Callithrix jacchus: one gene and its partner. The protein of the gene in region 1 interacts with the protein of each later gene in a pairwise test. Links are inferred from orthologs where the notes say so. Each region holds a gene or a part of one and is shown on either strand. Other genes may lie near its edges.

What was found.
Region 2: the proteins of LRP6 (region 1) and GSK3A interact in binary tests that used the Homo sapiens proteins (3 or more experiments, as listed by UniProt). The link is inferred for Callithrix jacchus from reciprocal best matches to the Homo sapiens genes LRP6 and GSK3A.

What each region holds. Positions count from the first base shown.
Region 1 is NC_133510.1:11,104,544-11,108,354, forward strand, and holds part of LRP6 (low-density lipoprotein receptor-related protein 6), read left to right. Parts: intron 1-2,569; coding exon 2,570-2,701; intron 2,702-3,811. UniProt on the Homo sapiens protein: Component of the Wnt-Fzd-LRP5-LRP6 complex that triggers beta-catenin signaling through inducing aggregation of receptor-ligand complexes into ribosome-sized signalosomes.
Region 2 is NC_133523.1:37,269,618-37,274,202, reverse strand, and holds the start of GSK3A (glycogen synthase kinase-3 alpha), read left to right. Parts: upstream 1-1,735; 5' UTR 1,736-1,900; coding exon 1,901-2,183; intron 2,184-4,207; coding exon 4,208-4,395; intron 4,396-4,585. UniProt on the Homo sapiens protein: Constitutively active protein kinase that acts as a negative regulator in the hormonal control of glucose homeostasis, Wnt signaling and regulation of transcription factors and microtubules, by phosphorylating and inactivating glycogen synthase (GYS1 or GYS2), CTNNB1/beta-catenin, APC and AXIN1.

The DNA of each region.
Region 1 (3,811 bases):
AGGCGCAGTGGCTCACACCTGTAATCTTAGCACTTTGGGAGGCCAAGCCTGGTGGATCATTTGAGGTCAGGAGTTTGAGACCAGCCTGCCCAACATGGTGCAACTTCGTCTCTACTAAAATATCAAAAATATTAGCTGGGCTTGGTGGCACATGCTTGTAATCCCAGCTACTTGGGAGGCTGAGGCTGGAGAATTGTTTGAACCCAGGAGGCAGAGGTTGCAGTGAGCCGAGATCATGCCATTGCGCTTGAGCCTGGGCAACAAGAATGAAATTCTGTCTCAGGGGAAAGAAAACCCTCTTTTTTTTAAATGAAAACTCTGTTAATCTAGAATTTATTTGAATATAAGTACCTCAGCTTGCTAAATAAAACACCTACTTAAACTTTTCTGTGCAGCCTTCCCACCTTGTTTTCCTTAGTTTTGGTTCTATTTTTGGTCAGCCTTTACAATGACTTGGACTATGACTGCTGACAACTTGTAAGAGAGGACTGGAATTAGGTTTAAAGGAAAATGAGAATGTTAAGGGTTTGGCACTTGTGTGTAAATAAATGTCTGGCATGTGTCTGAGTGTATTTCAGATTTTATTCCATAGCCAAAAATGAAGAGTGTTTGTACCATGTGTTGCTTTATATTAGCTCTTTTCATTTAGGTGGAGATAATCAAATATTGAAAGTGTTATGTTGGAATCCAATGATCATGAGCCCATAAAAATGTTTTTAAATGTATGTGTTACTGTTCTGTACAAAAGAAAACGTTCAGTCACTCATATGAATTTTTTTATTCTCTATAGCCCTCAAAAGAATTTTCCCTGTTTTTTGTTTGTTTTTTTGAGATGGAGTCTTGCTCTGTTGTGTGTTGATGTGATTACAGCTAACTGCAGCCTCGAACTTCCAGGCTCAATCGATCTTCCCACCTCAACCTCCCAAGTAGCTGGGACTATAGGCATATGCTGCCACCACCATACCTGGCTAATTTTAGTTTAGTTTTTTTTTTTTTTGAGATGGACTTCCATTCTTGTTGCCCAGGCTGGTGATTCTTCTACCTCAGTTTCCTGAGTAGCTGGGATTACAGGCATGTGCCACCACGCCTGTCTAATTTTTTGTATTTTTAGGAGAGACAAGGTTTCTCGATATGCTGGTGTCGATATCCTGACCTCAGGTGATTTGCCCACCTTGGCCTCCCAAAGTGCTGGGATTATAGGTATGAGCCACTGCACCTGGCCTAATTTTAGTACTTTTTATAGACGCAGGATCTCATCTCTCCATGTTGTTCAGGCTGGTCTCAAGCTCCTGGACTCAAATTATCCATCCATCTTATCCTCCCAAAGTGCTGGGATTATAGTCATAAGCCACCGTGCCTGGCCTCCTGTTTTTCTTTTCTTTTTTTTTTTTTTTTTTTTTTTTGAGACGGAGTTTTGCTCTTGTTACCCAGGCTGGAGTGCAATGGCGCGATCTCGGCTCACCGCAACCTCCGCCTCCTGGGTTCAGGCAATTTTCCTGCCTCAGCCTCCGGAGTAGCTGGGATTACAGGCACGCGCCACCATGCCCAGCTAATTTTTTGTATTTTTAGTAGAGATGGGGTTTCACCATGTTGACCAGGATGGTCTCGATCTCCTGACCTCGTGATCCACCCGCCTCAGCCTCCCACAGTGCTGGGATTACAGGCGTTGTTTTTCTTTTTAAATGGCACTGTTGGTCCTTTATGTTTTAGTAATTTGAGAATTTACAGTTATCTTTCATATTGATTACTTTTATCTTTCATGTTCCATTGCTCTCCATCTTCTGTTGATTTTTTTTCTATGAGTATTGTTTGGACATGTCCCTTTTCATAATTTCTAATTTTGCTAATTAGTTTTCTCTGCTTTTTATTTCCCCACTTTTCTGCTTATTCCTTCTATGTTAATCTTCCCAAAGCATGACTTGTTAACATAATTACTTTTCTTGGCTTTCAGTGTCCTTCACCTCAGTCTGTTCCCATTCTTCATACTCATTCAGCTTTAGTTTCTATTAGTCAATAGAAACCGTAACCTCCAGTTATACTGTTGATCTTATTATCTTAACTCGTTTATGGCCCCCAAGGTTTTATTCAGATAGCTTTACCACACTTGAAATGTCCTCTTACCTATCCTTCCACAAAGTGGATATAATTATCCTTAAAGGCTCCTGTGCTAGATCCTCCACAAAGTTCTTCAATTCTTTAAACCTCAGGGTTTTTTTTTTTCCCATTTGACTCTGTACTTGTTGTCTATAATGTGTAAAATAACACTTAGTTTTTTTGATTTCTATTTGTTTTAGTTTTTCTTTTTTTGTTGTTAATTTTGTTTAATGGACTAAATTATAACCTCTTTTAGGGCAGGGATTTCCTGTTTTACTTCTTTTATATTCTTTGGATACAAAATACTTAGTAAATTTACACTGATTATTTCCTTTCCTTGCAATGGTTTGGTAGTTAAGCACCTGCATGACATTTGGTAATAATTTTGGCTTATCACAGTTGTTCATGTTATGGTTGTTAACCTTTGTGTACTTAGTAATCATTGGTATTAATCAATGTGATTTATATTTGACAGCTACAAATCTATGTGCAATTGACAATGGTGGTTGTTCCCATTTGTGTTTGATGTCTCCAGTCAAACCTTTTTATCAGTGTGCTTGCCCCACTGGGGTCAAACTCCTGGAGAATGGAAAAACTTGCAAAGATGGTAAGACATTATCTAAAATGAAAAGTTTTAAAACTATTGGAATTCCTCATTATTTGTTTTTTCTATAATTGGCTGTCTAGGTTATAGTGCTTTGGGAGACCAGTCACTTAATCTCACAATCTTCACACATGGTTATAGGAGTGTTTTATTCTATGACATCATTTGAATGCTATTTTATACATTATTTTCGTGTTGTAAGTAACATTTTTGAAAAAAATGACATGCTCTATCTTTTCTGTCAAATCTCATAGTTATCGATACCAAAATTGATAACTATAGAAATGAGTGTTACTTCTCATAAAGAATATATTTTTAACAGGTAGCATTTGTAAATAAAGAACATCTCTGAAAGGAAATATGTTTATTAAACTTTTAGTTACAAAGAATATGAGATACATTTTCTAACAAATGATTTAAGGATATTTTAAATTGCTTTTTAACAATAGAGATGCTTTCAGAAGAAGAAAAAAATACATATTGTACTGTTTTAAACAACTTCTTTTTATACTTAAGAAACACACTGCCTCTTCTCCTTACTCTTAATTCCCTATAGAGAGAGGGCATGTTGGAGAAAGTATACTGATTTAGGACATTTCAAGGGACTTCTGGTTTGGAAGAACACCAGTTCTTCTGTTTTTCTTCTTAATGAGAATGTTATTCATTCTCATCCCTATGGATCACCATCTTGTTCTCTAGCAACCAGCAAGACCTGGTAAGAAAATTGTTATATTTAGCCATGGCTTCTTTATCTAACCTGAAAAGCAGAAGCCTGTACTTTGGAGTGTGTTAGAGTCCCTGGCAAGGGGGCCAGGGAGTCAGAGAGATGGAATTGAGTCTGTGTACAGGATATTTGTTATGACTTGGCATTGATAAATTATCCTTATAGTAAAAGGTGAAGCTGGCTGACTCCTGTCAAATGGTTTCCATGGCAGACAACAATTTGGTTTCAATTTAAAACAAAAGGTTTTTGTAATGTTGCTTTTTTCTTTAAAAATGTAGCCTGACTACATAAACAGAGGATTTATTTGAGCAATAATGGGTCTATCTACTCCCTCACAGCAGTGCAAGTGTACGTGTTTAACCAGTTTTGAATTTCATGTGTGCATTTGG
Region 2 (4,585 bases), on another chromosome or scaffold:
CCCAAAACACAGAGTGGGAGGCCCGGTGCCGTGGCGCAAGCCTGACATGCCAGCACGTTGGGAGGCTGAGGCAAAATCGCTTGAGCTCAAGAGTTGGGAGACCAGCCTGGGCAACATGTCGAAGCCCTCCCCTCAACTCCCACCCCCAAAAAACAAACCAAATGAAAGCAAATTAGCCGGGCGTGGTAGTGCACGCCTGTAGTCCCACCTACATGGGAGGCTTGGGCTGGGGGATTGCTTGCGCCTGCAAGTTCGAGGCTGCAGTGACCTATCATCGCACCACTCCCCTCCAGCCTGGACAACGTAGCGAGACCTTGTCTCACACAAAGCAAAAACGGAATGGGGTTCAAGACAGAATTCTTTTTTTTTTGAGACGGGTCTTGCTCTTGTCACCCAGGCTGGAGTGCAGTGGCGCGATCTCGGCTCACGCAACCTCCGCCTCCCGGGTTCAAGCGATTCTCCTGCCTCAGCCTCCTGAGTACCTGGGATTATAGGCACCCGCCGCCACGCCCGGCTAATTTTTGTATTTTTAGTAGAGACGGGGTTTTGCCATGTTGGCCAGGCTGGTCTCGAACTCCTGACATCAGGTGATCCGCCCATTTTGGCCTCCCAAAGTGGTGGGATTACAGGCGTGAGCCATCTCGCCAGGCCCAGAAATTATATTTCAATCTTTTTAATGTTCCAATAAGCTTTCTGGTGCTAACCACATTGCTAGGAAAAGCTAGACTGTATCCGACGGCTCGTGTTCTGAGAAACCGCAGAAAACTTTCTTTCCTGAATCCTTTGCACAGTTGTGGGGGTGGGGGGGCAAGAGAGGGGACATTTTTTCTTTCTTGATCTATGATCACCTGGAACTTAAAGGTGCTTGGCTCCATTTTCCAGCAGTCCTTGACCGACCTCGGCTTTTTCGTAAAGAAGGACCTGGGGCGAGGAAGAAGGCGCTGAAACACTTTTAAGTCTCTCCAGGGAACTGCTGCAGCCTCTAAATTTTGCTCACACGCCCCCAATCGTCGCCATTGGACTCCGCTTCCCGGCAAGCCTCTGCAGACTGGCCTTACAAAAGGTCAGGTCTGGACTATTCCCCAGCACGCTTGGAACTCTTAGGCGATCCCGCCCCCTCAGTCAATGGGGAGGATGCCTGGAACTTCATTTCCCAGAACACACCAGGGCTCTCTGTGGCTACTGCTCTAAGAGCCTTGGTGTTGACTACACTTCCCGGCAGGTACTGCGGCCTAGCGTACCTGGGAAGGGGAGCGCGAAACCTACGCCATTTCCTCGCCGATCTCCGGAACTGCAGTAGCCACTTGGGGCTTGGAAACCAACTGGGACTCCGTTTCCCGGCGTGCTCTAAAAATCTCTTTACACCTGCAATGCGGTGAGGGCGTGGCGACGACTCCATTTCCCGGCTTGCTTCACGGCCGGAGAGCCGCAGGTTCACGCGCGCCGACTCAATTTCCCAGAGCGCACCGGGCTCTGGGACGCATACACAACCAATAGACTGAGTGAGTGGACTCCGTTTCCCAGCGGCATCAGGCTCTCTGCTTCCCAAAGTCCTTCAGGGCTCCCCGTCGTACAGTCGGCTGCCAGATTACCCTGGACTCCATTTCCCGACGTACAGCGCGACCTGTCATTCCCGTGGTACTTTGAGGCTTTTGTGGACTTCATTTCCCGGCGTGCCACGCGGCTCTCCGTGCGGGCCGAGGGCGGTGACGGCGGCGCGGACGACAGCCGGACTGCATCTCCCGGCGTGCCCCGCGGCGGGCGCTGGGCCGGAGCCGGAGCCCAAGCCCGAGCGGCGCGGCCTGGAAGAGGCCAGAGCCCGGGGGAGGCGGCGGCAGCAGCGGCGGCTGGGGCAGCCCAGGCAGCCCGAGCCCCGCGGCCTGGGCCTGCGCTCGGCGCCATGAGCGGCGGCGGGCCTTCGGGAGGCGGCCCTGGGGGCTCGGGCAGGGCGCGGACCAGTTCGTTTGCGGAGCCAGGCGGCGGAGGCGGAGGCGGCGGCGGCGGCCCAGGAGGCTCGGCCTCCGGCCCAGGCGGCACCGGCGGCGGGAAGACGTCTGTCGGGGCCATGGGTGGGGGCGTCGGGGCATCGAGCTCCGGGGGTGGACCCGGCGGCAGCGGCGGAGGAGGCAGCGGAGGCCCCGGCGCAGGCACTAGCTTCCCGCCGCCCGGGGTGAAGCTGGGCCGTGAGTACTAGCGGCGCCTGTGTAGGTGGTGATCAGGGTTCCTAAAGCTCCTCAGACATCCGTCAGGTTCTTTCATATGCTTAGATAGGAGCTCGAGGTCACTGTGCCTCCCTAAACCGAAGATCCGAGCCCTCTCCCTCCCAGAAAAAGGGGTCTTGGGGTTACCATCTCTTGGATGTCAGAATTACTCTGGGATCAGAATTATTAACACTTAAAGAAACGAGTTACAAGTCCGTGTTCTTCCATTATTGAGGTCTTGGGCCCTTGAGCCTTAAGAACAGGTATCTTACGTTGCTGTTCATTAGAAAACTGGATCAGAGGTCATAGTCGCTTGCAAATGGGGAGCTATTGTCTCCTAAGAGAACAGGAATAAGACAATACCCCGAAAAAGAGGGATCTGCATTTGCTGTCCTTCAGAAGATGGGGATTTGGAGTGAATATCACTTAAAATCAGGGCTTTGAGGTTACTGTGTTGTGTCCCCAAAAAATAGGGCCAGGGCTTTCCAAACCTGGTACTCAGATCATCTTCCCTATTAACATCAAGACTTGGCATCATTACCCACCCTAAATATGTTGAGCTGTACCCCAGTGGTGAGAATTAATAGGTATTGCTTCTTCGATATAAAGACATTGGGAGTCAGCATATCCTTCAAACCAAGTCCATAGTCCATATTTTAAAATACATGGCTTGGTGTGTCTTCTTTAACAAAAATGGAATGGAGCAGGGTGGTTCACAGTTTCCTATAGACTATGGATCTAAGGTTTTACTTCTTTAATAAATGTTCTAGGGTATGGTGTCATTGGCTCTGAAAAAAAAAATAGTGATGTAGGGTTATCTCCCTCTGAAAGAACATGTCTCTGGCCCCTCAAAATGGATTTGGTGGCTGGGCGTGGTGGTTCACGCCTGTTATCTCAGCACTTTGGGAGGCCGAGGTGGATGGATCACCTGAGGTCAGGAGTTCAAGACCAGCCTGGCCAATATGGTGAAACCCCGTCTCTACTAAAAATACAAAAATAAGCTGGGCGTCGTGGCAGGCGCCTGTAATCCCAGCTACTTGGGAGGCTGAGGCAGGAGAATTGCTTGAACTCAGGGCGCAGAGGTTGCAGTGAGCTGAGATTGCACCATTGCATTCCAGCCTAGGCAACAAAAGCAAAACTCTGTCTCAAAAAAAAAAAAAAAAAAAGGATTTGGTTCATCAGTTATTCAAAGACCCCTAAGAATGGCACCAGGGTTTGCTACCATCTGAATAATGGGAATTGAGAATTGTAGCTTTCCTTCAAAGGACTGAGGCTGGACTAGCCCCTTGATAATAGAAGTCAGGTTTATCATTCTCATAATCTGGTACTTGTCCATTAGGGACCACCCACATACAGGGAGGGGTCTGGGGCTGTGGACCACACAGATGAAGAGGTCAGGTCAGTGTTTTTTCTAATCTCAAAGTACCAAAAAGTGAGGGTCAAGGCACTGCTACGTATACCAGGAGAGGACATTCATTTCTGTCACCAAGAACCAGTGAAGTTAACAGCTCTACAGGGGAGGACTTAGAGGTCAGTATCCTCTAGGCTGTGAGAAAGACTAGTGCTTTCCTAAAGTAGGAGTAACTCAGGGTTTCTGCTCCCTTAAGTGGATGAGGTTGAGTCAAGCTTTCTCCAAATATGAGGGGCCAGAGGGCAGAAGATCAGAGTGGATGGAGTCAACATCTGGTGTCTCCCAGTACCAAGATGGACCAGTGATCTGTTGCTTCCTAGAAGTAGAAATTTGGGGTTGACAACCCTTGAAGCAGAGAGGTTTACGTATCAATATCCTCCCATGTGGAGGAGAGGCAGGATTTAAGTTTCCCAGAAAGGAAGAGGGGAAAAGTCACTGGGAAGTTCCAGCATCCACCTCTCCTCAAAGAGGAGGAAGGGACAAAGAGGTCCCCAACAAGCTTCCTGTGGAGATTTCCCTTCCTCCCACAGCCCCAGGATGGGGCGATGTGCAGACAGGATGGGTCAGTGGATCGTGTATCCCCTTTGTTCCCCAGGTGACAGCGGGAAGGTGACCACAGTGGTAGCCACTCTAGGCCAAGGCCCAGAGCGCTCCCAAGAGGTGGCTTACACAGACATCAAAGTGATTGGCAATGGCTCATTTGGGGTCGTGTACCAGGCACGGCTGGCAGAGACCAGGGAACTGGTCGCCATCAAGAAGGTTCTCCAGGACAAGAGGTTCAAGGTAGCTTGGGCGGGATGGGGATGGGGAGGTTTGGGAACTGGGCATGACTGGTGGGAGAACCCTAGCCAGACAGCTGAAGGCTTGGGTTTCAGAGCCATGGTTCAGAAGGGAAAGGGGGAAAAGAGGAAATGAGACCTGTGGAAGATGGGAAATGTGGATCCCAGGAGAGCCCAGAGCTGACTCTTATTGG